4 linked regions of the Lepisosteus oculatus genome follow. The protein of the gene in region 1 interacts with the protein of each later gene in a pairwise test. Links are inferred from orthologs where the notes say so. Each region holds a gene or a part of one and is shown in the gene's direction. Other genes may lie near its edges.

The links.
Region 2: the proteins of l3mbtl3 (region 1) and prkaa2 interact in binary tests that used the Homo sapiens proteins (3 or more experiments, as listed by UniProt). The two-hybrid records come from large-scale screens. The link is inferred for Lepisosteus oculatus from reciprocal best matches to the Homo sapiens genes L3MBTL3 and PRKAA2.
Region 3: the proteins of l3mbtl3 (region 1) and ttc19 interact in binary tests that used the Homo sapiens proteins (3 or more experiments, as listed by UniProt). The two-hybrid records come from large-scale screens. The link is inferred for Lepisosteus oculatus from reciprocal best matches to the Homo sapiens genes L3MBTL3 and TTC19.
Region 4: the proteins of l3mbtl3 (region 1) and ngb interact in binary tests that used the Homo sapiens proteins (3 or more experiments, as listed by UniProt). The two-hybrid records come from large-scale screens. The link is inferred for Lepisosteus oculatus from reciprocal best matches to the Homo sapiens genes L3MBTL3 and NGB.

What each region holds. Positions count from the first base shown.
Region 1 is NC_090697.1:3,078,777-3,085,688, reverse strand, and holds the start of l3mbtl3 (lethal(3)malignant brain tumor-like protein 3), read left to right. Parts: upstream 1-3,906; 5' UTR 3,907-4,006; intron 4,007-4,203; exon of another isoform or gene 4,204-4,479; intron 4,480-6,291; 5' UTR 6,292-6,314; coding exon 6,315-6,416; intron 6,417-6,912. UniProt on the Homo sapiens protein: Is a negative regulator of Notch target genes expression, required for RBPJ-mediated transcriptional repression. It recruits KDM1A to Notch-responsive elements and promotes KDM1A-mediated H3K4me demethylation.
Region 2 is NC_090704.1:17,352,642-17,359,730, forward strand, and holds the start of prkaa2 (5'-AMP-activated protein kinase catalytic subunit alpha-2), read left to right. Parts: upstream 1-4,073; 5' UTR 4,074-4,172; coding exon 4,173-4,266; intron 4,267-7,089. UniProt on the Homo sapiens protein: Catalytic subunit of AMP-activated protein kinase (AMPK), an energy sensor protein kinase that plays a key role in regulating cellular energy metabolism.
Region 3 is NC_090701.1:26,039,044-26,046,853, forward strand, and holds the start of ttc19 (tetratricopeptide repeat protein 19, mitochondrial), read left to right. Parts: upstream 1-4,805; 5' UTR 4,806-4,845; coding exon 4,846-5,101; intron 5,102-5,594; coding exon 5,595-5,686; intron 5,687-7,178; coding exon 7,179-7,289; intron 7,290-7,810. Other genes in the region: ATP-dependent RNA helicase DHX30, read left to right, coding at 122-261, 362-609. UniProt on the Homo sapiens protein: Required for the preservation of the structural and functional integrity of mitochondrial respiratory complex III by allowing the physiological turnover of the Rieske protein UQCRFS1.
Region 4 is NC_090703.1:9,707,471-9,714,838, forward strand, and holds the start of ngb (neuroglobin), read left to right. Parts: upstream 1-4,363; 5' UTR 4,364-4,683; intron 4,684-4,900; 5' UTR 4,901-5,031; coding exon 5,032-5,129; intron 5,130-6,873; coding exon 6,874-6,982; intron 6,983-7,368. Other genes in the region: znf410 (zinc finger protein 410), read right to left, coding at 56-88. UniProt on the Homo sapiens protein: Monomeric globin with a bis-histidyl six-coordinate heme-iron atom through which it can bind dioxygen, carbon monoxide and nitric oxide.

The sequences.
Region 1 (6,912 bases):
CCAGCCGGCCGCTAAGACATTCAAGCAAGCTGACCCATACACAGCCTGATGAAGCTCAGGTGATTAATGCAAAAGGGGGATAGGATAGTTTTGATTTGCTTCACTGGCTGCACTGTATGCAGCCGATTGCCGTTCTGAAGGAGAAGGCTGCGAAGGATGTTTCAAAAGGATACTTGGAGCTACCCATTTATAGAGGTTATGGAATACTCTAGCTAATTAAAAGAATGAACTGTGATCCGCAGAAAGCACTTCTAATTATCTTTACTTAATAAGGCTTTGTTTTAGATTTGGTTTTGGCAGCAAAACGAAAAAGTGGCATCACAGCGCTAAACAGGAATTTACAGTACAGGAAACAGCATAAAAAATGTGTAACATCGATAAAATATACAAAATAAAACTGAACAGGAATGACTGGGCTTGGAAAGATCATGGGACCTACAAATACAATTGAATCAGATGAACACAAAAAAACACCAGCCTATCTAATTGTTAATGACTGGATTGAAGCCTTTAAGTGATTATTAAAAACTAGTCACTTCAAATGCAAATACAGTGAATATGTCTAACAAATACATTAGCTAGACTGTTTACTGGATGTTCTATGAAAGCTTTTTGACATTTGAGATCTATAAAAACAGATCAATGATCGTGACTCTGGTATATTTGTAGGTGGTAACAGTAACATTGAAGTAACATTGATAAATATGCAGATGATGCAAAAGTAGGTGGAGTTGAAAATAAATTTCAACAATGCAAGTCATTTTTGAGGCACTATTTGGATAATCTGAGGCACTATCTGGAGAATGTTTAGGTACCTGTCAAAAGAAATTCAAACTAGATAAATGCAAGTTTGTGCAGACAGCTATAATGTATTGTCTAAGTAAAGAAAATTGTAGGTGGTAATGGACAAGAAGCGAAGGAATGAATGGAAAATATCTCAGATTCATGTTGACTCAATACTTATATATTCTAGAGAGTGCAGTAAAAATAGCAAAAGCAATAGTAAAATGGCTGGTAAAAATTTGGGTAATATACTGTAGTTAAAGGCATGTAATGTACCATGTAAATTTAAGGTCTCACTTTGAATATTTTGTTCAATTCTGCACACTGTAGAAAAATATTGCTATTCTAGATGCGGTAAAAAAGGACTACGTCGTGGTCTGGAAGGAATGTCATACTTGGAGTGATTAAGAGAGCTGTTTAATTCAGGTGTTCAAAAAGCTGAAAGGAATTGACCAAGTCAGTACAGGGAACTGTACGTCTTCAAGATTACCAACATTGTAAGGAACCTGGGACACAAGTGGAAATTAACTTCAGGAGCATATTGGACAGAAAAGTGAAGACACTCCTTTACATAGGGGAACTTGGGAGCCTGGTACAAGCTCCCTTGCCAAAATATTGAAGCTGAGCCTGTGGGATTTCTCGATGGAATTCTTGGCTCCTTATGCTACTGGCATCCAAATGTTGAGAATGGGTCGAATGGCCTCCTGGCATTAGTAACCTTTCTCATGTTATTACGTCTCTGCAGAGTTTCTTCTTAGAAGAAGAAGAACAAAGTCCAGCACAAAATGAATGTTCAATGTGATATCAAAAGCAGAATTGAATGCACATCACCAGATAAGAGCTCAGCACCATCGGCACATCACAGAGAATATTTTAGGAAGGAGATTCAAGCAGACACCAGTGAGGAATGGGGAACTGCTCAGAAGTGAAATCAAAGTTCAGATAATGTTGGAGTTAAAACATTTATACTTCATGAGGAATAATGTCATCCAGGAATCAGATGATTTATGAATGTTGATTGAGTAGTTCAAGTATAATAAATGACTTGGTATAGTATAATTACCCACCTGGTAAAGGAGCAGCCCAATGGCCATAAACATAGAAGACTCAGGATGCCATTTCAGGGGATTTAACCAGCAGAAAGGTGAAAATGGGATAGAGGAGAGACACATGAGACACAATGCAAAATACAGTACATCTTTCAAAGTAAAAATTGAGTGTGATAAGTAGGAAACATTGGGAAAAGATTACGATTTAACCTAGGTGAGATGGACTTCTTGTAATCCCTACTAAACGTCACTTATGAATTTCCATATGATATGCTGTATAGCACATTATACTGAGATAAAATAGCACAAATACTGTAAAACTACAGAGCAATTACCGTAAGCTGCAGTAAGGAGCAGCAGTTAGGATTGTGAAAGAGAAGGTCATATAGTACAGTATGTTCAAGTCCTAGGAGCAATGCTGCTGTAACACACTTGTGCTGACTGTACTGTGTGAACAAAACTCAAGAATGCGGGAGTCCATTATGTAGAAGAGGAATTAAGTCGCAACTGAATAAAAAGTGAATGTGCTTTTCCACCAGTAGATGAGGGAGAAATAGCAAGCCGGAGGTGGAATATTGCATTTCCCAAAAATCTTGATGATATTGTCCGTGGCTTGATTGTCTCTGTGGTAACTTGCTTTTACAGTATGTGCCACAGTGGAATAGTGCAAACAGCTACAGCTACATGTTCAACAGCCTAGGCTGGACAGAAAGACCCATTAGAGAACTGAGAAGATTAACAACAGAGTGTGGAGGACATCGTTTTGAGTCTTTTTCAGGAGTCTGTTATATACAGTAGCTCACTCTCCTGAAAGTGATCAGCATCATCTATACTGTGACCTTCTGTATACTTTGATGTGCTCCATTGTATAGGATAGCAGTGATTGATTTTAGCTAGCTAATTGAAGAAATTAGGAATGATTAAAGAGGAAAGATTAAAGAACAGCAGTGTTTTCTGCAGTACTGCACTGTACTGTATGTCCCATCACCTCGTGCACCTTACAATCTTAAAACAAACTGCCTTTTCCATGCACAACAGAGAAGTCAGGATTCAAAATATTGAATAAGGGACACTGAACAGCCATCTAGCTAAGTCACATGCCTGCCCTCTTTATCTTTAGTCTCTTTTCCACAAAAAAACTTCGTCTCTTAACAACATGCACTGACAGAAAACGCATGTAAATCTTAAAGAACCTACAGTATCTGGTTTCAAAATGTTTCTTTTTTGTTTAGCTGAACATGTTTTCAGATTTATCTTCCTCTGAAGGGGTTTAAAATACTACACACTTATACAGTACTGTATCGCTTGTTCGACCATTCATACTGTATTCGTGTACAGTATGTTTACACAAACAGCCAATACATTGATACTGGATCGATATGAGCCACGTTCTTTATCAACTCAAGAGGATATCTGAGCACCTGCTATAAAGAATGACTAAAGTGTTTTAATTTGATCGAATCCAGAGACAACGGAAAAAGCACCACTCAATATTGTAAATCAACATTATATTTACATAATCAAAGTGACACAGTATTTCAGCTTCTTAGTGTTGATATTTTACTTCGGGAAAAAAATACTTTCGTACGGATATTTTTTTTACGTTTCCGTGTCGACATTAATAAATCTTTTATTTATGTACAGCCTCACTTGCGTTCATTCATTCGTTTCGATGTATCCAGAAATAGATTGAAACGCTGCAATAAAGTCCAACGCATGACATATCCGAAGTTATACCTTTAGGTTGTAATAATTAGTCATTATTTTAAAAAAAAGACGATTACGTATAGTACGAATTATTTCAAAACATCTGATTTAATCTGAAAGGTTATTTTAAAGAGGGAATAATTTCCGCTCACTTACAAGCTAGTATATTTTGAGTAACAAAATGGTAACCGCTACTACTCATAACGAAACAAATAGAAATTTGATTTCCCAAGTGCTACATCTGCACAGCATAGTTTGCGATCCAATGACAACTATTTGTCTTGACGTCTCTTTGTTAAGGACAACAACAGTAAACTATAAGTAGATGAACAGATTTCGTATTTTTTAAGGCTGGCAAAACTTCGGTATCATGTGTTATAGGCTATTCTGCAGCTCTCGCTCGTCTCTCCGCTCATGCGCATTGAATGGTGTCTGAGCAATTTGTCAGTACTCGTGAGAGAATTTGGGTAAGAAACAGACAAATTTAAACAACAATACTTTTAAATCAATATGTTTGTGCAACAAATTCTTCCCTACAGTTAGGTGTACGGGACTATCTTTTACTTTCGTTTTAGGTTTGCCGCATTTTAATTAGCCTGAAACTTAGAAATAAAGTACAAATCGACTGGACGTGTCATCAATAATTTTAGCCAGGAAGAGGATTGAGTGTGATAGAGCATGAAATGAATTACACAATAAAATTACAATAAAAGTAGCCCAGAAAATTATTGCTTACGATGGAAGTCATTGTTGGCTCCCATTGTATTTTGCAGGAGACGACAATTTTATGATTTATTTGAACTCTTTGAAGAATAATGCCAGTTTTAGAGCAATTCCTTCCTCTGGGTGAGAAACAGCAGAAACTGGGCGCTGGGAGCAAGAGATAAAGAGGGCAAGAGATAAATATTTAAGCCACCATTTCTTTTCATTAGGCTTTATAGTAAGTAAAATTATATTTTTTTGTTTGAATGCAACGTGTCTAAGGGCCTGTGGATGAGAATTATATAGAGTATATTCCAGTTCCGCCATTTTGGGAAACTGCCTTTAAAAACACATTAAATAGTATCAGAGAAAAGAAAAGTGTTTATCAGCTACGGACCTCAGTTCAATGCATGATACGCGTCTTGCGTGGGCATGGACATCGGTAAATATGAAGCTCCTAGTTTCGCAAGTGAAAAGAAACAAAGTAATTTAATATTAAACTTGCGCTGAACTGTGTCTTATTCACCGAAAAAAGAAAAGTATTTGAGGAAGAGATCTAAAAATAAGTATAAAAAAATCCCCAATATCGAGGAAAGGAAATTGACAGCAAGATGAAAAGGAATACATGAACATGAAGTGTTTGTCTTTCGCTTATGCGTTAATTATAATAATGATTACCTTAATTATAAAATACATGAGTAATTTTATTATATTTGTCAGTTTTTGTGATGACAGTTTTTTTATTCTCTTCATTTTGGTTTTGCGTTACGTATCTCACACCTTTACCGTGAAATGAAATGAAGTCTGTTGAATTCGTGATCTATGGCCGTTATTGTTCCTGTACTGTACGTATTGTAATAAAACGCCTTGAGAAAGCGCGAAGAAAATGTAGATACTTTCAATATCATTAATGAAAACACATAAATCTAATAGAAGACTTCGACTTAGTTAGATATTGCTGTTAGTATTATTTTTTTTCATAGTTGAAGCAAATTTTAGCACGTTGTTCGCATATTATGAACCGTATATATGATAAATTGCATAACTGAAATTACTAAATAAAGGTGTAACGCACAAGTAATGGATAACCTTATGAATTTTATTGCTGTTTGATGAAAACAATCTTTTATGTATCATGAATTATGGTCTATAATATAGAACATTTGTCTCCATTTTTTCATTGTCATTTCATTGTTAAATTAGCTCTCGAAAGTTTCAAGCGCAGAATTATATTAACCTGGGCAATGGTGACCTCTAGCGGTGATAAATGCCAGCGTTTAGGTAATTTTGTCCTTTTAGATGAGCTGTTCTGCACCCATCATTAACAGGTTTGAATATACGTTATTATATACAAAAAAAATCATTGTCTCATTTCCCTCGAAAAAAAGGAAGAATTAAATTTTAACCTAAGGAATAGGACTAATTAGCATGAAAATGTGACATCAGAAAACTATACAAATCCAATTTATCCATCCATCTGTTTTGTAAACACTTTGTTCAGTTCAGGGTGACAGGGGAGCCAGAGCCTATAGCAGCAAACAATGGGCACAAGGCAGGATACACCCTGGATGGGACACCAGTCCATCACAGGGCACTCGTACACACTGACAATCACACCAGGGCCAATTTTCCCAGAAGCCAATTGACCTATCAGAACAGGATGGCTTTGGACTGTGGGAGGAATACAGAGGAGCCTATGATTGTGGCGGAGGCACATAACAACAATTAAACATTATTCCCTTGTAAATAACAAATAGAAAATTATAGATTTAAATCTAAAGACAGGCTGGGTTAAAAAAATCCCTGCATTTGTTTCATAAATTATTTAAATTGTGTTTTAATTGTGTAAAGCCTACACTATTTGCAGTTTTTGTCTTACTTCGCAAAATTAAAAACATGTTTACGATTAATTGCATAAGACCTAGAAAGAAGTTTTGTGAATACAGCGGCGCTTGGCATTGGTGCGATTTCACCTTTCTGTGCTGAGGGATCCAGGTCCCATTGTGATCTGTGGGAAGAGGCTGTTCATTTCCCAAATGGTGCTTTTCAGGGTGCTGTACTTTTTTAAAAGATATGGAAGAATCGCCTGCGAGTCTAGGAGCTCAAGACTTTGATGTTTACAGTGCAATGGACTGGAAAGATGGAGTTGGAACTCTTCTAGGAAGTGAGCTGAAGGTGAGACTGTCGGGACATCCAATTCAGAATGCCTAGTTTTTTTTAACTCTTGGATTTTGAATGCTTCGTTTTATCTAGTCTTCCTTTATTGAAGCATAATAAGTAACAATCATTTACTGAATGTTGTACAAATGTATGAATGGGAAGAAATATTTTGGCATTGTCTGTCAGAGACCAGGCAGGGACAATGCTAACCAGTGCAAGCAAATAAAACTGATAAAGGAGATCTAGCAGGTACGTCAAGGCCCTTGTGAAAGTTGAGATGGGTCACTGTAACAAGGAAATTACTAAAAGCAATGATGAACTCCTGGTCCATGTTATATTCTACTTACACATTAGCTCAGAATATATTTTCCCAGGAGGTGCTGTAGCAGCTTCAGATAAAGGGTCAGCCATAAGCAATTTCATAGTTTTACGTTTTTTTTAAATACAGTTCTCCGAAGACGTCTCATTTTTATGAACACAAAGGGACACATTTTCAGTACAATGAGTACTG
Region 2 (7,089 bases), on another chromosome or scaffold:
AAGATCATGAAAAGAAAAAACAGACTTCTAAGAAATTAACCACACTCATTTAAGAGGAATTTGTTGTGGATTATCTTTCTTTTCCAATAAGCTGTTTCACAAGAGGAAAAGAATGTAAGATGGTAAGCACTCAGGTGAATTATTCAGCAAAACATCTTTTCTAATGATATATTTAAACAGATTTATCCATTTTTGTTTGTTGTAAAGTAATCATTGCAAGTAAAGTAAAATAAATGCTACAAATGCTTTGTGATTAAATGGGGACAATAACATTTGCAATAAGCAAACATAAAAATCAATACCTGGATAGTGGCTAATAAGAACAGTCCATTTAGCCCATTTACCTTGTTCGGTAGTAGCTATTTCACCTGCGGATCACCTACTAAAAATACATTTGTACAAATACTTAACATTATCAATGTCAGGGTAATGGTGTATTTTTAGAAAGTTTTAAAAATACAAGCATAAAATAACCTTGGTTGGACAATAAACTATGAATTTTCTTACTTGTTTGTACCTTCCAACTAATCAATTAACATATTAATTTAATTTCTGTGCAATGTGGTGAATACTTTACTAGATATTAAAGGTGAATCAATTTAGACCAGGTCATCGTAGCATTTTACAAGATGTCTGTCTATGGATAACTTTAACTGTACTTGGACCAAATTGTACTGAATTTACTATAATATATGTACTTGAACACATGGACAACAGCATCAACATTACTAACAAAAATGAATAATGATAATGATAGAAGTACAGTTACCAGAAATTTACAAACAATGCTGCACAGCAGTATACAGTACTTCTGACAAGACTCAAATGAAGTCTTCAATCTAGCTGGTGGACAGGACCTTCTCCTGCTTCTTCAAGTGGCAAGGTGGCTGTAAAATTTCAGTTAAGGTCACATCTCTCTGCCTCTCAGAGTAAACAGTACCTCAGATATTACACAGAGCTGACCTGCTCACAGCCTAAGTTAATTTTTAGTTTCATTTGGAAAGTTTTAATTAAAATGCACAATTTAATAATTTTTATATTGTGCCTTTCCTGTTAGGACATCACAAAACAATTTACAATAGAGGTAACAAATCAGAAGAGCACATTAGTACAAATCTTGTCCTTTAACTAATTTAATCAAATTAATAATAAACTGATTGTTCTATAAAAAATGGTGTGAAAATAGCTCTGCATCTTTGTGTCCTCTGTGATAGACTGATGTTCCATCCAGGGTATATCTGTGACCCTAAACTGGATAAGTGGATGTTGAAAGTGATTATGATTTTTTGCTAAACAACACTGAGAATCAATTCAATCTTCAACAGACAAACAAGAACCTATTGTTGACTTCTGTTGTGTTATCTTAGTATTTTGGAAGCAGTTGGGCTGTTGGACATTTTACCTTCTACTGGTGGATGCTGCACATTGGTGGTGGTGGAGGGGAGTCCCCATTACCTGTAAAGCGCTTTGAGTGGAGTGTCCAGAAAAGCGCTATATAAGTGTAACCAATTATTATTATTATTATTATTATTAATCCTAAATGAATTTGAATGGCGAATTGTGCTTTTCCAAGTGTCAGCTCACAGTTACCATTCTTGCACATGCAGAGGGGAAGAAATGTCAGCTGACCTGCTCAGCTTCGAGCCACTTGTGTTTTAATGTCACAGGCACCACAGTTCAGGAGGTTCGGTGCCAATTAGAGAGAGGATCATCCCTCGCTGACAGCACTGCATTCCTGCACTCAAGCTACAGGAGGTGCTGTTCCACCAAGAGCCGAGAACCCCGACTGACTAATCCCACACTTCCCTCAGAGTTATTCGGGCTGTGAAATCCCTTGTGGACAAGTGAAAACACTCAGTCTACAGCTTAAGTGCCTTTCTGGTTGAGCTGCACAGAGGGACATAGCTAAGATAATATTCAGAAGTATGTGAAGCACTGCAAATGCCATACTACTTTGTGTATAAACATGTCTCCAGTGTGATTTATTAGCATGACATAGCTGAAGATGAGCAGTACCTTTGTTTTCCTTACCGTCAATGCTCTTAAAGTCCAACAGGTAACTGCGATTGTCCACCTGATAAAGCTGAAGGCTTTAATTTCCTGTTACAGGAACTCTCAGGTGATAAGCATTCACAACCTGCAATTCACATTAAAGATTGACTCAATAGATGCCAAAAGAATAAGATTGCAAACACAGTACCAATACATTAAATGAGTAAAATGGAAGTGCATAAGTATGTAGTGTGTAGGTACGGTGCCGTATTTGCCCCCTTATTGATTTCCTCTATTATTGCACATTTTTGACACTGAAGTTATCCTACACCAACTGGCACTGTGTGAAAAAGTACTTGCCCCCTTAGTTAAATCAACCCAATTAAAATGATAATTTAGAGTCAGCTGATTGAATACAGCCAGGCTTGATTACAGCCAGCCCTGCTCAATATAAACCTCACTTATTTTGACCCTTACTAACAGAGTCAAGTTGCCAGCACAAAGATTCAACAAGCACCTTATGCCACGACCACAGGAAATTCCTGAAGAAATCAGAAAAAAGTTGTTGATATCTATCAGTGTGGAAAGGGTTACAAAGTCTCTGGGACTCACAGTGAGAGCCGTAAACTCCAAATGGAGAACACTTGGAACAGTTGTGAATCTTCTTAGGAGTGGCTAGCCTGCCAAAATTTCTCCAAAGGCGCAGTGTAAAATCATTCAGGAAATCACAAAGGATCCTAAAAAAACATTCAAAGAACTGCTGGCTTCTCTTGCCTCAGCTAAGGTCAGTTTTCATCACTCCACAATTAGAAAGAGACTGGGCAAAAATGGGCTTCATGGGAAAGCAGCAAGGCAGAAACCACTGCTAACCAAGAAGAACATAAATGCTTGTCTCTCATTTGCCAAGAAGCACCTGGATGATCCCCAAGCCTTTTGGGAGAGTGTTCTATGGACAGATAAGTCAAAAGTGGAACTTTTTGGATGACATGGGTCCCATTATGTCTGGCGTAAAGCAAACACAATATTCCACAGTAAGAACGTCATACCAACAGTCAAACATGGTGTCGGTAGTGTGATGGAGTGGGGATGCCTTGCTGCCTCAGGACCTGGATTACTTGCCATAATTGAAGGAACCGTGAATTCTGCTTTGTATTAGAAAATTCTTAAGGAGAATGTCCAGTCATCTGTCCGTAAGCTGAAGCTGAAATGTAGTTGGGTCATGCAGCAAGACAATGATCCAAAAAGAATGGCTGAAAAGAAGCAAAATTAAGTGTAAGCAATTATTATTATTATTATTATTATTATTATTATTATTATTATTATTATTATTATTATTACTGGAACTATATAAGAACGACAGAAATCGTACATCTCCACCTAGTGTTCACATTTATGTAGTGTAGCATTCCGCTCCCACCTGTATTGGATTTTCCCTTTTCCCTCTCAACCTTGACCCTGACTGCATCTGTATACAGTACACATGTATCATATTATATAAATCTTCTATTTCGCCATGTATTGCTACCGGAGACTGCGGGACACCACTCTCTCTCCCCTAGTGACTAGCACACATACTGTAATCTAAAGGGCAATAAACCCCTTTTGTTTAAACTGAGTACTCTGTCTGCAGCCTCCAGAGCCGCAGGGTCGTTCGCTGCAGTATATAATAAATTTAAAATTTTCTGGCATATACAGTATTTATTTGCTATGGTACATAAGAAGAGCTACCTTTCAGTACACTAGAATACCTAGTACGTCGTCAGTTCCTAACAGCAACAACTTTAATGCTGTTATCAAAGACAACAATCAAACATTATAGTATCTCCAAAAAGACAAGAATGTGACACACTGCATACTGTAGAAATGTCCTTGAAGTGCAGCCACCGTGATTCTAGCGGGATTAGGGTTTTAGCGTGTAAAGAATTAAGAATATTTCTTTCCCAATAACAGGTAAATACACAGGCATTTCAGACACACATTTCGAATTGTGGGGAAGAGTTAATAGGCTGCCGCCATCCTCCCCCCATGTCTCTCGCCAGAAGACTGACAATCACCATAAACAGCATTGCGCTGTCTGGTGTCTGACTTCTTTCGCGTGCTTGGTGTAGTGTGCGTTGTACAGTACTCTTCGCCTCCCTCTGCACTCTGGGTAAAACTACAGAAGGATCACAAATGCAAAAATGGCTGAGAAGCAGAAACACGAAGGCAGGGTTAAAATAGGACACTACATATTAGGAGACACCCTTGGAGTCGGCACTTTCGGAAAAGTGAAGAGTTAAGTGTTTTTTTTTATTTTGTTAAGAAACTGCTACAGCTTCCGACAGACTGTAAATGTCTTTCTCCTCTGCCTTGACTGTGAATGTTAAACCATTGCAGGTGGACACTACGCAAACGGCGTAGCAGTGTCTTGACAGTGTATGGGAGCAGTCTAAGAACGGCGAACGCTTATTTCGTAAATATAACTGAAGAATGGGGAGTGTTTTAAAAAATCCCGAATTCTGTCATCAATGCAGAGAGCAGTCTTGTTAAACGCTTGTAAATATTATGGTGTGCAGTTCATGCTTAGGAAGCAGTAGTAAATCAAAAATCCTGTTTTCTGACATGCAGTAACAATAAATGCGAATGCAGTATTTTGTAAGGTATATACAATCATTGCTTTGACAGCGCAATATTGAGAAAAATCATCACACTTTGGTAATGACCATATCAAATATTATGTTAAACCGATGTAAAATGTACGCAGCATTTTATTCTTAAGGAAACCAGAGTTGATAACTGTGTTGTCGGCTTGTAATTCTGACCTTGTTTCTTTAACCTTTACGCACGCCAATCTATGAGGATATTTTAAAAATGGCTAAATTTTAACTTTAAAAATGGCATTTTAGTAAATTCGTTTAGTTGATACGAGTAAACTGCATCTGTTGCCAAACGGTTTTTTCTGGATTTTAAAATAATATGACCAAAAGAACCAAAGAATACAAGATCCACTCTGGCATGTTACTACTAGAATTAGTGCTCTCCTGGTTCAAGTTAAAATGGTAATTATTGTTTGCTAGGTCAATGTTAAGGTTCGACAGAGTGAGGGAAAGTAATTTAGGAGACTGTTGTCCGGTAATAAGGCAACCACAATAGTTTGCAGCTGCAATAATTAAAACTAAAAATGTCCATTTCTATTAAAGCTGGAAATTCGAACCATTCATGAGAGTACAAAGCACGAGCAACACTACTTTTTCATGATCAAAAGTACCAAGTGTTTTTTAAACGACAACTCATTTTTTTCATTTTCAGCGTTTCACGCTAATATGTCTGCAATATTTCTCAATGTGAATTATCAGCACTGCCTAGACAAACCAGCAAGTGCAGCCACCTGTAGGTTGGAATTTGGAATGCATCCCAGCTTGACCTTGGAAACCACTTTAAAGAGAAGCAAACAGCGTATTTCAAGAATAGTAAGATTTTTAATGGCCGAGTCTGAGGTCTGGACCGGTCAACTTTTGAAATACGGTAATTAGAGGAGTAGACTTATCTATAAAAGATTTATGTTCTAGTGTGATTACGTGCTTCTCTGATTCTGGTTTTAATGTGCTCAAATGTAGGGATTCTGCATTATCTATATTGCTGAAAATCCAAACTACAGTACATGTTAATAAAACTTGGGGATATAAGCAATTGAAATCTCATCAGTGATTTAATGGAGTTTTTAATAACTTTTGCTATACCTTTCCCAAAACTATAAACTCCAAGAAATTTTCAGGCACCCGTTACTTTATCACATACATCTTAGCCATTAGTGTATTGATCTAGTCCCCATGTGGTCACAACAGTCCACAAAACATAGAGATCCATAAGAGGCAAACTTGACATTTCTTTGCTTTTTGTTTAAGTTTTAGACTTTGCTTGGTTGTTGTTGGGGCAGGAGAAGAATTAATACAGACATATTATTTATCCTTTTTCCTATAATGGACTTGTCCTTCACTATAAGGGTAAGGTAAAAAATAAATAGCATGAGTCTTCAATATAAAAAAGTGAGATCAATTGTATGAAATGGTTACATCAGTAACTTTAAATTATTTAGGACATGTACTGTATTGCTAACCCATGGAAGATTATAGGCTGCAATCTGGATGTCCTTAACATGCTGTGTGAGTTTTCAGGACCAGGGGAAAGCAGGAATTAGATAAAAGCACAAGAAGAGAAAAAATAGCCTGGTATCTAAGATAACACTGAACCCTGGGGAGTCTATCAAGCAATTTTGTAAATCACTGTTTTCTGTTTTCTATTTGGTCTACACAGTACTTTTTTTACATTTTAGAAAGATATCATATTCTGTATTTTCTCTGTTGAGGATGCACAGCATATTTATTTGGAGGGGATGTGGATTCACAAGCAGGATGCTGGTTCTCTGAGCATGTTTAATTGCTTTTCTGAAACAGCCAGGCTGTTTTGTAGAAGATGTTTGAAGCTGAGCTAAGGGTTTGAGTGTAACAATTTTTTTACAATGTCTTTCTCCTTCTGTTTTTTGTTTTATTAAATATTGATAGTTCTCACAGAAAAGCGAGGTGTGTTGTCTTTGGCTTCTATCATGCTTCATGTCAAGAGACGGCAGGAGATCTGCTCTCAAATGAGCAATCCTGATGTTCCAGTTTTATACATTAATAGTACTTATCATAGTCTAATGAGAATATTGCATGGGACGTAATAGGCAAACCAGAGATCTCAGTAGACTCTTCTGCCTTTAATATTAACCAGGTTTGTACCTTACATTAAGTCAGTGAATTGATTTCTGTTGCCTTTTTATACTGCAACCATGATTGTTTTAAGATAGAGCAGTGAGACCAATTCAAAAACTTTATAAACCAGGCATTTTCTGATCATAATCATGTAATATTCACCACCAAAATAAATTTGCAGTAATAACTAATGTTCCACAAATATTTTCAGAATGCTAAATTAAAGACTCCAGGAAGGTAGTTTAAATTAATCTTGTAGATTTTTAACAAAAAAACATGGTAGTCTTAGTCTTGTGGTCTATAATTGCTTAATAAGGCATTGAGAAATAACATGACAAACCATACTTAATGTTCTGTAGAATGATTT
Region 3 (7,810 bases), on another chromosome or scaffold:
TCACATGTTGGTTAAGGAGCAGTTGTAAAGGGTCGTGGTTGCTTATATTTTAGGATCGTATTTCATAGGTAGTGTTACTTGTGATCTATATCCTGTCAGCTCTGTTGGTCCCTTTCTACAGGAATGCGGAGGACTTCCCCACCCGCTGGCTCACCTTCTTCACAGCTGTCAAATCCAATGGCAATGTCTTCATCAGAGACTCTTCCACAGTGCACCCCCTTTCCCTGCTGCTGCTGGCTGACGGGCACATAACTGAGCGAGGTACAGTGTCTCGCTCTCCCCACCTCTCACCATTAACACCACCCTGCCCCATCTCTGTGCTGATCCCTCTCTCTGTCACTTTCTCTCTCCCTGTCTGCAGTGGCGGAGGACAGTGTGGAAGTGTCTCTGGCAGGCTCATCTCTGGTCCGCTGTGAAGTGTCGCTGCAGAGCTGGGAGCTTCTGCATGGCCTGCGCTTATCCCTGCATGCCATGGTGCAGCACTGCCTGCAGGGGGAGCCCTGCTCACTGCCTCCCAACATAAAGATGCAATATACTGAGCTCATAGCACTGCTGGTGGAACTGCTGAACAATACTGCACTGAACACTGATGCGCAGACTGACCGGTGAATAGTGACACACTGACTACATTATACATTCAGTGTAAAACACAGTTTTTACAGATGGTGTATAGGTGGTTTGGGGAAATAGCAGGTCTCACCCTCTCCAAGCATTATACTTCGCATTTCAGTTTTTTAGTTAAGAATAAAATGGATGGAAAGAAAAGGTGAGACCAAGTGAGAGAAACAGTGCCCATTGTGAGCTGGCCTCTCTGTCTGTTGTATTCTGTATCAGAATGATTTGAAGACATTAGAAATAAACATTTATTTGAGTAACTGCCTAATATTGTTGAAGTATTAGTAACAAAAAGATCATTTGGGTGGACAGAAGGACTTCAGTGGTCTAAGGACATCTCTGGAGAAAAATCCACTCCCCATGGCAGTTACTGTGAACAAATGTGCACATTATGCAAATTACAATTAAAGTGTGGAAAAGAAATATTTTTTTCATTCTAGCATGGATTTGGATTTTTTGTCCTGTGGCCTTTATTACTTTTCTTTTCAATGTTATATTAATAAAGCATGAAAGTCAGAAAAGGTGTGAGAAGAGTTCAGGGGAAGGAAGAGGATTGCAGTAGGTGTTCAAATGTTTCTCAGTAAAAGAGCACAACAGCTGTAAAAGAGGAAGAAAGGTGTTTAAGGGAAAATGTAATCCTTTGAGAGGATGAAAACAAAATGACATACATTGAAAAATTGGCATAAAAGAAGCATGATAAAGAACACTGAATGATCTTAAAACTGCAAGGAGCAAAGTGTTAAATGTAATTCTAAAACCATATAGAAATTGATAAAATTCACTTATTTTCCTCAAAATGAAGCAATTGCCAAATATATTTGTACTGCAGATTTTCTGCCTTATGCATTGCCTCCTTCCCCACAAGTTGCTCATTTCCACACGTGTCAGAAGTGGTTAAACAAAAAGTAAGGAAAAATGTTTGGATAAGGCAACATTAAATCCTTGATGTTTTTTTATTTCAATCTCTGGGAGCCTGGTAAGTGGTCCTTTTCTCTTCTGTGTCTAAAATATTGTGAACCAGAAGAGAACTGATACTGTCATTTTGTACAAAATGGCATTAAATGTTCAAGATGGCAGCAATATAATATTTCGGTGCCTGTGGCAAATTAACGCTACAACAGAAATTCAATCATCTTGTTCACCGTGCCAAAAGATGAAGCAACACAAGAGCGTTGAAGGAAGCCGACTGTGACTGGATTTTGCAGTACACAGCAGGGTATCTCCCAAGAGAATACCTGCTCATCTTGCTAGACAGTGAGGGTCCTGTATCGGTCACATTCAGGTTCATAGCAGACAATTGTAGTTAACAGTTGGGTGAATAACTACTTTCAGATCACTTTTGATAAAGGTCCACTTAAGAGAGAATTGGGGAAATTATGTTTATACTAAGATCTGGTTAATAGACACAAGTTGATTGGTGCATTGAAATAATAGATTTTATAATATCTTTAATCTACTATTTCAAGGCACAATAATGGAAAATATTAATTGCAAAGTCCAAGACTGAAATTCCATAATGGTACTAAATATTTGGATGTTTTTACATTGTAAAAGGACATCATTTGCCTTAATACAATTATCACACCTTAACTATAAAGACATGTACGTCCAGGCTTCAGCATATTCTTCTGCTACAAACAAAACTAAGTGACTTAATTAGTGCTGTACAGACCTAAGGCAAACAGATGTAGACATTTTATATATACACTGTGTATTCAATGGCATCAAATTTGCTTTTGCTTTGGTTTATGCCATTAATGCACTAGATTTAAATTACATACATTTCTCCCAATACCATTTTATAATAATAAATGGAGATTGTGATGCTAAAAATAACCCAGTCTTGGACAAATCTAATCTATAGCAAATCTATAGCATGATTTAAATTTATGAGCAGTGTTTTGTATCTAATTATTAAAGAGAGTATCTACAAAATGAAAAAAAAACATTAGAGATTATACTTTTTTCTTCACATGATAAATTGTCTAGGACTGACTTTATTCTCATTCTAACCACATTTACTGTATACATCATGAAAACTGACTTTTGCCAAGAATTAGTATTGTTGTCACTATATGTCCTTGGCAATCTGAAAAATGGTCTAAAAGTGTCTCTTTCAATTTAAGTAATGGTCTGTTGTTCTAAATAAATGTTATTCAAATTAAGTTTATTTTCCAAATAAACTTTGGAAATTTATTAAGGGTTTTTAGTGAAAACTGTTCTGCATTTTTCTCTCATCTATACATTTAAAAAATAAGCAAATTAAAGTTTTTGAATGATAAATTCTACTTCTTCAAAGTGTTTACTGATTTCTTATTCATGGTACCTGTTAAAAGAACTATTATCACAGAGAAGATCATAATTACGATATTATCACGAAGTAGATGATTGTACGGGACAGAAGTCCATCAAGGCACATATTACTTAATTACATATTACTCAGTACACAAATACTCAGACCAGGAGTCAATTAACCTATCAGTACATTTGTGGACTGTGGGAGGAAACACACAAGAGCACTGGGAGAACATGAAAACTCCACACAGACAGCACACGAGGCCTAGAATTGAACCCGGGACCTCAGCACTGCAATGCATCAATGCTAACCACTGCACCACCTGCAACATAAGCAGTTAAACAAAATCAGTCCTGATGCCACATAGTTTATCTGAGCGCCTATCAACAATCCCAGCTTATTGTACACTTACGTACCAGCACTGCTGTTTAAGCATAATAATGTTAATTATATACTTAATATACAGGATAAGAAAAGATGGTCTTTACTGTCTGTCCTTGCAAGTAGCTAAATTAATAATGTTTTGCCACAATTAAACTTTTAATTCTCTGTTACCTTCACCCCCTTACCCTTCTTTTTCTTTTTTTGAAAACCAATGATTCACTTCATATTCACTTCAAGTCATTAACTTGAAGTACTTCAGCGTAGCCCCATCCTCTGACAAAATGGTAGGTTAAGGGTGGATGTGTCGACTATTAATGGTCATCTGTTAAAAACAGCATGCAATACTGTATATTATGACCTCATGTGTAACAAAGAGCCTCCTCTCTTTATTTTAAATGCACTTCCAGATTCAGTTCTAAGTGAAAGTCTACACTTTTCCAAAGTAACACATTTTGTGGCCTTATAGCCTGATATAAGGACATGTAAAATAAATTCTGGTTTAATCTTTGCACAATTAAACACACAACTTCAAGCTGAAAAACAAACATTTTGAAAAGTAATTACAAATGGAAACCTGGAGACATGGGTTGGGTTTGAAACTCACACCAGGGCAAATTTAACAGAAGCCAATCAACCCACCAGCAGGTCTTTGGACAGCTGGAGGAAATCGGAGCACCTGGAGGGAAAACACATGAACAGAGGGAGCATACTGTAAACGCCACACAGATACCACCCTAGAAATTGAACCTAGGGCCCCAGTGCTTTGCTATACATCACACCACCATATCACCCATAACTTTTGATTTGAAATATTTAGACCTAATAGCAATTACAATGACCATGGTAAGATTGCTACAGCAGGACCTTCAAAAAGAAACTGGAGAATCTAAAAGCATTCCTTTGCTGATGTTTTTTTTTTACTTTGTGATGTCCTATTGTAATTTCAACCTTTGTCCGCTGTTTAGTTTTCATTCTGAACAAAGAAAAGAAGTGTTTTTATTCACTGCTTCGTCGTTTTGCTCTACGTTTGTTAAACTTTAGTTTTTACTATACGCTTTCTGGACCCTAGATTTATTCTTTCGGTAACTTTTAAGACCTGATTGAAAGCTCCCCATGGTTATTTCTTGTACATTTTCTGTCCAGCTCCAGCTTAGTTTTGTCCAAAGTTACCCTTAGGAGATAAAGGGTAGGTGTGTTATTCAACAAAGCCTGGGTTACACGTGCGATTCGTCCCTCTGTTTTGAAGCTCTTAGTGATCCCAGACACCATTGTCTGCCGTAGCACTTTTAAAGACCACAAGGGCTTCGTTTCTGATGAGCGATAAAACACATTATATACACTACTACAATTGACTTACATAGAATCAAGGAAAACACACAGAAAATTGAATTAAAATGATAATTTCAATAAACTGGAGTAGTCGTTATAGGTGCGGTAAAATAAGAACTGGCTATTTAAGCGTTTATAGTCATATGACAGTAGAGACACCGTACTTTCCCCATCACGTGATAGCCAACTAAGTGCATTTTAACGTTTGCCTGCGTACCGGGATGTTTTTGAGTCGGGTTTCACGTCTGTTCCAGGTCCAGGCAGCTAGAGCTCGACGCTGGGCACTGGATTGGACACGAACCCAGGGTGCTCGGTTCCGGGTCTCTGTAGAGAGGCGCGCACCGAACCGACAAGACAGATTTCTGTCACTTGCAGCTCCAACGCAGTACAGAAGGTCATACACACTCTGTACTACTGGTATTGGTGCTAAAACTGCTAGTGACGACAGTCTGACTTTACAAATTTGGGGAATTTTAGGCAAGTGAGATTTTATTTTTGTTATGCAATGTTTTATGTAACAAGCTCTATGTAAGGAGTATGCTTGCCGTATATATGTACAGTACTAGGCTATAAAAAGCAGAGCATGTTGTTCTTTAGATAGAAGACTGCTCATGGATATTTATTTTATATAGAGGAGCTTTATAGTAATTAAAACAGGATTTTAAAAATATAATTTGTTATTGAAGATCGGTTTGTATTCGTTTTGTCGTCTTGTGGTTACGATTCTTAATACTAGAATACTAGTCTATTAGACTTTCCCTGATTCAGAAGTAGTTTTAGCCTTAATATTTCTATAGCAGCTTGCTTTATAAATGATAAAATATGACTACGAGTCTTAAAGATGTGCAACAACTGGAGCCCCTCTTGAACCTTGTTTTGAGCAAAGCAAAACTTGCACAAGTTGAAGCGCAGTATTCTTTGAATTTGGAGAGGAAGGGTTTGTACTTAATGTCTCTCCGTTTTCTTTCAGCGTTCTCTCTTTTCACCCAATCCTCCGATAACGTTGAAGATGAAGAAAAGAAGAAAGAGGACGACATTATTCTGCTTCTTAAGAGAGCAAAGGTATTTAGGTACACAATCCTGTTTGTTTTTATTTCATTCGATGACGTGTTGGGGGGTTTTGTGTCCATTTGATATCTCTTCAAAAAGATGGTGGAGAAATGTCAAAGCCATCAGGACATTTTTCACTCTGTGGGAGATCTAAAGGAGGGTACAGCTCTATGTCCTGTGGTCAGGATAGGTTTATCTTGATATTATTGTCTATCCAGAATGGTGGATATATATATATATTATTATTATTATTATATACCAATTGCACATAGGACAAAATATTTCCTGTATACATTTGTTATGGCCATAGGCCTTTAAAAAAACCCTCCTTGAAGGTACAGTAGCTGTTGAAAATTGGAAAGAAGAGAGTGGGAGGGGTCATTAATTATCATAATAATAAATTAAACTTGAATTTAAACTGCAATATAATACATCTGATTTAACTTTTTCTCTGCTCTTTTCTGGTCGACCAATAATTTTACTAGCAGTATTAACAATTCTGGTCAATTTCCTTTTACTCTTAATACCCAGGCTACCATACCACACTGTGATGCCAAAAGTAAGGATGCTGTCCACTAGCATTCTATAAATGCTCTCTAAAGTGCTTTGACTCACCCCAAACACTTTCAGCTTCATGATCAAAAATATATGCTGACTAGCATTCTTAAAAATGCAGATCAGTTAAAATGCTCATCTATTACTATTTCTAGGTATTTGAAACACTGAACAGCCTCTCCAGGCTGTTTAATAAGGGAGAGAGGTTGAAAATTTAACAATTACTGTACTGTCAGTAGCCAGTACCTTGGTTTTATCAACATTAATATATGAAGCATGTTTGACTGACATCACCTTTCCAGTTAACTTATCTGTTCAAAGTAATTCTTCACCCCTTCTCTGTCATCCCTAGTAAACAGTCCTGCATTTTTAATTTGTGTAGATGGAAAATTGTGAAAGTGACTAAACAAAGCTCATTGTGATGGAGAAATTGTGTATTTGAATTACTGTTGCTACTTATATTTATATTGTATTCTGTGCCTGGGACAATTGAGTGTCATCAATACATACAAGGATAATTGGATTTATTATGTTTTAAACAAAGTTTGAGATGCAGCAAGGTCAGGTGTCTCACTCAGGATGTACCTTGCCTAGTGCCCAGTGCTTCCCCAGATAAGCTGGGGAACATGTTTGTGCAGTTCAGCAGTTCATGTTAAAAAGTGTTTCAGTGCTATAAGCCAGCATTTTTCATGTCTTGTGCCCCCCAACACCATCATTCTAGGTTTTAAATCCACACCATACCTGATCATTTCAACCTGTTTGAAAATCTAGACTGCTTTTACATTGGGTGTGAATGGATTGAAATTCTGGATTGTCAAGGGGTTTGTCACTGCTCTAAGAGACAGACGTCTTACAACGACAACCAGGCTTTGGGAATAAGATTCTCCTAGCTGACAGTACTGACCTGCAGCTTCCAGTGCTTTGCTGATCACTCCATTGTGTTTTTCAGCTGAGCATCATGCAGGGGGAGCTGGAGGCTGCAAACAGGATTCTGCACCAGGCCATCCGACTGGCACACCAGGCCAAGAACACCCAAGCCATCACATACACGTACAGCATGGTACTGTTCCTGTCACAGAGCTGACATCTGTGTTGCGCTGCACACACATACTGCTACACATGTGAATGCTATAGAAGGGAGGCACACGGGTTAGATAATCCCACATATTTGTATTAAGACTAGTATAAGTAAGGTATACACCTTACATTCCTCACTCTAAAAAAGCATCAAATATTTTAATGTACTGTAATGTCCTTCATAACAAAATCTTAAATTATTTTGTATGCCTTCATTTCTATTGTTGTGTTCTCCACAGGTAAGACTTATCACTATCTATCACTTTATTGTGATAGAGAAACTTTAAAGAGCATATTCCTGGAGCTCATAGTCATTGAGACAACAGATTATAATAAGAGTACAGAGGCCCAGAGATACTGGGAATATATATACTACAGGGGCACCAGGACAGATTATAGCCAAGGAAACAAATTAGTAGTTGGATTAATGGTTTTAAATTGAAGACTCAACTGAATTAAAATCCAGCAAATGCTGGGTGTCAACCAGAATGACAAACCTGTTTT
Region 4 (7,368 bases), on another chromosome or scaffold:
GACAGACAATCTATTTTGTAGGAAGAATTATGATTTTTTCTTCACTTCTACATACCTCAGGCTTGGAGTCCAGTTCATCAGAGAGCATGGATTCAACCTTGGAGATCTGCAATAAAATATGAAAATGTCTTGACTCCAAAAAAGAATAATTTTTCAGACACTAAAAATACAGTTTTAGGTTTCTTATTTTCAATTCTGTAGAGATAGATGCAAATATACCCTCTCTAACTTCTTACAATTCAAATTAATCCATTCAGACTTCTCCAAGAAAGTTTTTTATCTACCTTTTTTCTTAATGATCTTAAAAACAGATTTTTAATTAACATTAAAAGAGATCATTTAAAATCTACACGAATTACCAAAATAAAATCCTTTTCATGTGGTCATGGATTGGAGGTAGTCTTTCTTATCCTTAGTTTCATCTGCCTGTTGTCATAACTAAACAGGGAGACAACAATTAAAAAATAATTAAAGAATTTGTATTAATGTTGTTAAGTAGACAGTGGTGGAAAACACAGACATTTCACACTATAACATTTTTACTTTAATTCACAAAGCAAACAATTGCAATCGATTGGACTAAAGCAGAATATTTTCCTGTCTTGGCCTTTATTCCAACATAACTTTTAATTTTACCAATCGAGCTTAAGCGGTTTCCTGCTCTTAGGACTTAGTCATATTAATAATCTCCTTTATTTTTACATTTCCCAAAATATATAGCAAGAATAACTCTGTTACAAGTTGCTCTACTTCAGCTTTCTTAACGACTCTTCTCATCAATTAATCATATGTTATCAGACACTGAACGTAAGCCCATAGGTTAAATTCAACCAAGTGTCTAAAACAGGAAGGCTACATTACAGGAGAACTGAGACATGTTCCATGCTAAGTTCTCGTCTTGTTCTACAATTCAAGCACCGAAATATTCCTGAAAACTACAAGCAAACAAATCAATTTAAATGTTCGATAACCCAAACTCAGAAGTTTCCAAATGAAACATTATTCATGCGAGAACAACTAGGCGACCTTTTTTTAATCATTCCTGCCAAATAGAAAAATAGGTTTACGGCAAAAAGTAAAAGGAGGAAAAGTTAGGTTTAATATTTATTTTGAAACTTTTTACAGAAATAATATACGAATACTGCACTTTACATAAAAATTACTAGTGTAGTTATTTCCACAAATAGCAAGTGGAACAACGCAGTAAGTGGAGCATTGTTTTAAAATTCTTAGTATTTGTAAATAATACTTAAATATCGTTAAGTTAACTAAACGTAGCACTGATTCTTGCTAAGCTAATATGAATATCATAAACATACTAACTAACGGTAATTAATTGACAAAAGAGCCCGTACCAGGCCCATTTCCTTAAAAAAGGAATATCCGCCTGCATATGTCTTGTTTTGGTAACTACGTTCGTGATTTCTTTGAATTAGAAATCCCTGCAAAGCGTTTTTGACGATCTACTCACACACTTTTTCTTGTTTTCAGGCTGCCTGCGTGTTTTTTCTTTGTTGTTTTCCGAAGTTTTCTGTTTTGCTAAATGTTCTTTTCCCCCTTTCTGTTTATACACAAACGTGTGTCAAATATTTCCCCTCTACGGGGGCCCGATTGGGACAAGCGACGGCGGCCTGAGCTTGTTTTTTTAACAAACGTGTTTAACCAGTTGGTTTGTACTGTAGGTAGGCGCTAACAGCCTGTTTCAAAAACCACGGTAGGCAAATTCTTGGTAGCACCTGCATGACAGGAATGGGCATATTAGTCGTTGACTTTAAAATAATGATATGACAGAAATGTTAAACAGTAGAAAGGTTATTTTTTTATATATTTGTACACCGTAAATGGTCAGTACAATGGTTATCGTTCGTGTTCCGTTTAACATAGCTCTATGATGAAAAGGGCAGCATCGCAGATTTAATGTTATTGCCGCTGTTTCAGTTGTTAGCATTATAATATCCACCAATCTCTCAAGTACAGATTGAGAGATTAATGTCTTCCGTTTTCCATTGCAACCGCATAATAAAAATGTACCAAATAATGCAATCTCTATTTTATTATAATTTCGTTAATTCAATATTCAGTAGTATTGAACTATGGGTAATTGGGCAAGGCGATCCAGAGTGTTTAAGGAAAAAACATAGTTCCCTTTACAAAGCCTAGAACTTCCACTGACTCACAGTTCGTCACTAGGAGTAAGAAGTTATATTAGGCTCCATCCTTCAAATGTGAGGATTAAAATTTTGAGGGCTTTTGAAAATGGTTCTGCTGGAGCTGTTACTGTTAAGTGGTTTTCTGCTTTATCTCTGTGACTGGCCTTAGACACAAGTCTGCTAGCAAAGTTCAATGTCTGTCCTGAGGAATAGATGACCACAGTGTTGCCACCATCTAGTGTAGCCCATGGTTTCCCAGTCCGGTTCTTGGGACCCTGTGTCCTCCAGTTTTTGTTCCAGCCTTAATTTTTAATCACAGGCTAATTGATTTCAATTTTCTACTTGAGGCATTCTTTTAAAATTTGATTTCAGCTCTTACAACACTGAATTGGGATTCCTCTCAAACATTTTCCCTCATTCAGGCAGGTTAGCTCAAATGTAACCAAGTGGACCTCTGTATAAGGAAAACAAAACTCACAGTGGGAGTGTTTGATGTCTCATGCTCAACTGTGCCTGTTGGGCATTAACTTATCTCCTACTAAGACGTAGTAATAAGTGAGTAATAAAAAAGTTGAAGAGAGACAACATGGATTTCTGTAAACTAAGGTTGTTGGAACAAAACACTTCAATTCATTTGATGGGCACCAGCAATGAACAATTCAGCTGAAGTGAAAACCAGCAGATATAGGTTTCTCCCAGGACCTGGGCTGGATCCCTGTTCTGGTCTGATCTGATCTGCCCTGAGAGGCTAAACCAGGCTGGACCTCGGCAGTGCTGTGGTGGGAGACAAGAACTGCAGTGGTGAACCAGCAGGTGGCAGTCTTTTCTCTGGCCAGAATTTCTAGGTCAGTCCCCAATATGTCTTAATATGGGCACACTGCGCTGTTGGAGGTGCAGCCGTTCAGATGAAATGTTAGACTGGGACACCGATCACTTGATAATTATAGATGTCATTGTACTTCTGTAAGAGGGGTGTTAACCCTGTTGTCCTGGCTAAATTCTGCTCTGGGCTTCCACAATCTGGCCTTCCAAAAGTTTAGCCTTAATTCAACGTGGTGAAATAATTTCTCTCCCTACTCTGCCTGATCGGTTGTGTAGTGGAGCTTCTGGTGCAAAATGGCTGCCTAGTGTCACAGAAAATCAGAGGTGGATGAAGTGTACTCCTTCCTGTAAAGTAAATTGTGATCCTTCAGGATAAAAAGTTCTGTATGAATGTGATGAATTCTATTTATTATATCTAGAAGTAAGATAAGCTTTGAAAAGCTCAGGATCTTCTGCATTGATGATCTAATTTGGCAGCTTCCTCCGTAAACATTAAAATTAACTTTCTTTTCATTATTGGATTGATAGACTTCTGTCTAGCAGTTGTGAAAAAATATATAATAAAATAACAATAAATATGAAGATTTTATGCATCTTATAATAGTAGTAGCATCAACCAAAGTGCCTTTGTTAGATATGCGATATCTACAGTCATATTCCTAATAAAAAAAAATAAAGCTGACAATGGCCTTTAATCAGAAACTATATCTTAAATAATAAAAGATAATAATGTTAATATGTTGCTTTGACCACTAACTTGGGTAAGCACAGAGAGGGATTTTATTGGGCCTGATTGTTGTTAATAGTATTGTAAAAGCCTTGTACATTAACAGTGCTTGAAGTCAGTGGTCATTTCTGGAACTAGTCTTTCAAGGAGAGCCAAACTGATTGAACTGTCATCACCTGCCAGTTTGACAACTGCCTGAAGGCAAAGTGGCTCGCCTTTCATCTGAGTTATATAATGTTCCATTTGAGCGTTAGAAGAGAAAGATCTTCAAAGAGACAAAAGAGAGTCCCCAGAAACAATAATTTGGTCATTTCAATAAATAATTTGCAGAATTTTGTAACTGGGCAGTTTGCTGGATACAAATTTGCCCACCACAGCTGTAACCTTTGTGTTTCGGGGTGACAGGTATGGCCTGGCATTGGAATTTGGAAAGGAGAAACAAGACATCAGAGCATTGCAAATGCATAGGAGGGATCTCCTGGAGACCCTTTCCAAGGTGCAGTGGGAGATTCACCTCGCTGTTGGCCGAAAGGGTTCTGCTTCTTTTTTGAGCATCTTCGCCTAGCATCTCTCTTGGCGAAGCAGCTTTTGTCACACGCGGAAACAAACGCGGCCAAAGTTGCCGGAACAGGCTGACACGCCGGGAGGGTGTCAGTGCGTCTCGGCGCCAGGGGCCATGTGACAGTGGTCTCCTGTGCCGGCTGGGAGGGAGAGCAGGCAGTGCTGCCGCGAGCACAGGGCCAGAGCACAGTCTCCTGCAGGAGGAGCTGCAGACTGACAGATGCTCTGGGGAGGAAAAATCTCTCGCTGAAGACGGAACAAAGGCAGAGCGATAGAGAGGAAGGTAGCAGTCAGGCTGGCAGATAACACTGGGGCTGATCTCCCTCTGACTCTTGAGCCCGAGACAGACAGTGGGCAGCACTCCAAATCAGCCTCTAACATCTCTGAGAGGAGGGTTTTATTTTCCAACATTCACTGCCAAAGGTATAGTTCCATCTCTACACTGCAACCAGGGTTTAAAATTTAGAATATGAGAAGAAAAATACTTTTGATCTAGCATTTTTCAATTAAACATTACTTTAATGTGGTATTTTCAAGGAAACTAGATGTACACTTTTCAACAATGAATCTGTGCTCTGTTATGCTTTAAAGATCAATATGATGGTTGCTGGAATAACAAGGTGTTTTGTTGTTTTCACAGAAAAACAAAAAATCCCTGAAGCTTTCTGCCAGAATATTATGGGTCTGGAAGCTGAAAGATCTTCTCAGATTCAGCGGCAAGTGGAGGAGAACTGAAGACACGGTGAGCTGAAATTCAGAAGCAACCTGACGATGGAGAAATTGACAGCGAAAGACAAGGAAATGATCAGAGACAGCTGGGAGAGACTCGGGAAGAACAAACTCACTCATGGGACCATCATGTTTACCAGGTACTTGTCCATATTCCAGACTGACAGGAACAGTCCTGGTTCATACTACACTGCAGGGACCAGCTTTGCACATCCACAGCTAGAGCAAATCTGGTATGCATAATGTAAAGAGAACAAGTTTAAAGAAAGTGGTTTGATCATACCCCAAAAAACTATGTTGGACAGAGTTACACCATATAAAAGCCAGTTGCAGTGTTCCAATGGACTGCAGTCCAGAAACCATAACATATTTAAAAAAAAGCTAACCTCCTGTCTATTTAAAATACTACATTTTGACGAGAACCTTCCTAAATGCACACAACTGATTTTGTGTTTGAGCCTTACAACTGCTTATCTCTTAAAATGTGTTCTTTTGTAGATGTGCTTACTTACTGTACAGTGTAAGATTGTGGAAATGCTTTTTTAAATCTTTCTATGGATATCGGAATGAGGTATTGTCATATATTCTTTGTACAATGTCCAATATCTCTTTCTTTCACATTTAACATATGGGCTGCGAAGACCCACAGGTGGAGAATTGACAGACAGATAACAGAAGGATATGACAGTTGTAGGAGCAGCTTTGTGAAAGAGTTTACTATAATGTGTTGTTATGCTCCCTTGGCTAGCATTCAGAATTCCAGTCTGAGGCTCAAAACTGGCATTTTCTACATTCGAAATGGGTTTCTGATTAGAAGAGTATTTTTCTGTTTTATAGAGGTAATTTTATCAGTGTGCCAAATAGTCTCCTTACGGTTTTTAGTAGGAAAATCGAACAGTATTGACAGTTTTGTTAGAGTGCTAGCATAGAAAATAAATTGGGTAGAAGTGAGCTAAGAAAAAAAATCCTTTCTTGGATTTCAGGCGTAGCATTGTATTGATTAGAAGTTAGTTGTGATCGTGAGAGGAATCAGGTTTTATCTGGTCCCTAGCCTAAGGACAATTTAGGCTGCTCTGGCCATTTCTTCTAGAGCCAAACCTATGAATGGCAGTCTAGCAATGACACACAGCTGTTTGTCATGTGTGTTAAACCAGGCTCGATCTAGGTATAGAGTATATTGGTAACTACTGTATTTAGAAAAAACAGAATTTGCAAGGGAGCTGCTTACCCTGTGAGTAGCTCTGGCATTTGCACATCTCATTTACTCCAAAGTAAAGGAGCAAAGAAGAGCTTGAGCGCAAAATGTAAAAGACTGCGACACTGCCTGCAGTTCACAAGGGAAGTAGCAGCAGCGATTTAAAATGAGACAGAATGAAGAAAGTTGCAAGAGGCCTGCACAGCCCAGACACTCCCCCACAGGCACACACAGGTTTCAGGCAGAGACATGGTGCAGCTGTACAGGAGCCGGAGGCTTTGCTCGTTGCTTGGCGACAGTGAGGTCCTCATTTATCTTCTGCTGCTGGAGGAGACGTGTGTGTTAGACAGACAGCAACAAGTTGTCTTGCTGCGGTGAAATAATATTTTGTTGGATTTTGTCATGTGAACGGTGGGTCCGGGAGAAGGCTGTAGGATCTGTTTCCTTTGATGCAAAAACAATTCCCTACCTGAGATGAAATATTGATTATCTCACTTCAAAACCAGAACAACATTTAATTATGACTTGCAGAAGGAAATGGATGAGGAATGAAAGTGATTACAAGAGTACAGGGTATATCTGATTTAAGTTTTTGAATAGACTGCTACTGTACCTTCAGCTCTTCCTTTCTTAAACAAATATCCTGTACACACGTATGAATATCGATTCTCTCTGTATTTCACTGACAGGTTATTTGAGCTGGACCCAGAATTGCTCGGCCTGTTTCACTACAACACTCCCTACAGCTCACCCCAAGAGTGCTTGTCCAGCCCAGAATTTGTGGACCACATTAATAAGGTTTGGAATCTCATCCATGTCTTATCTGGTCTTACCTGTTACTGTACAGTATATAGAGCCATGGTTCCACGTTCTAGTCTGGGATATCCTCACACACCGAGTGGTTTTCGTTCCAGTTCAGCTTTACACCTTATTGAAGCCTTAATTGACGTTACATGTTTCTTGATTCGTGAGTTGTTTCACTCCATTGTTTGAGTTTTTACTTGACTCATGAAATGGTAAAAAGGCAGACCCAACATGTGTAAGAGCTGAAAACAGTCAGTCAGTTCAAAGTCATCCTATTCTTAAGTCAATTAAGTGTTTTAAATTGAGTAAGTGGGAGCTTGGCAGGAAACAAAAACCGGCAGGTATGTGGGCCTCTGGGATCGTGATAGTGAACCCCTTAT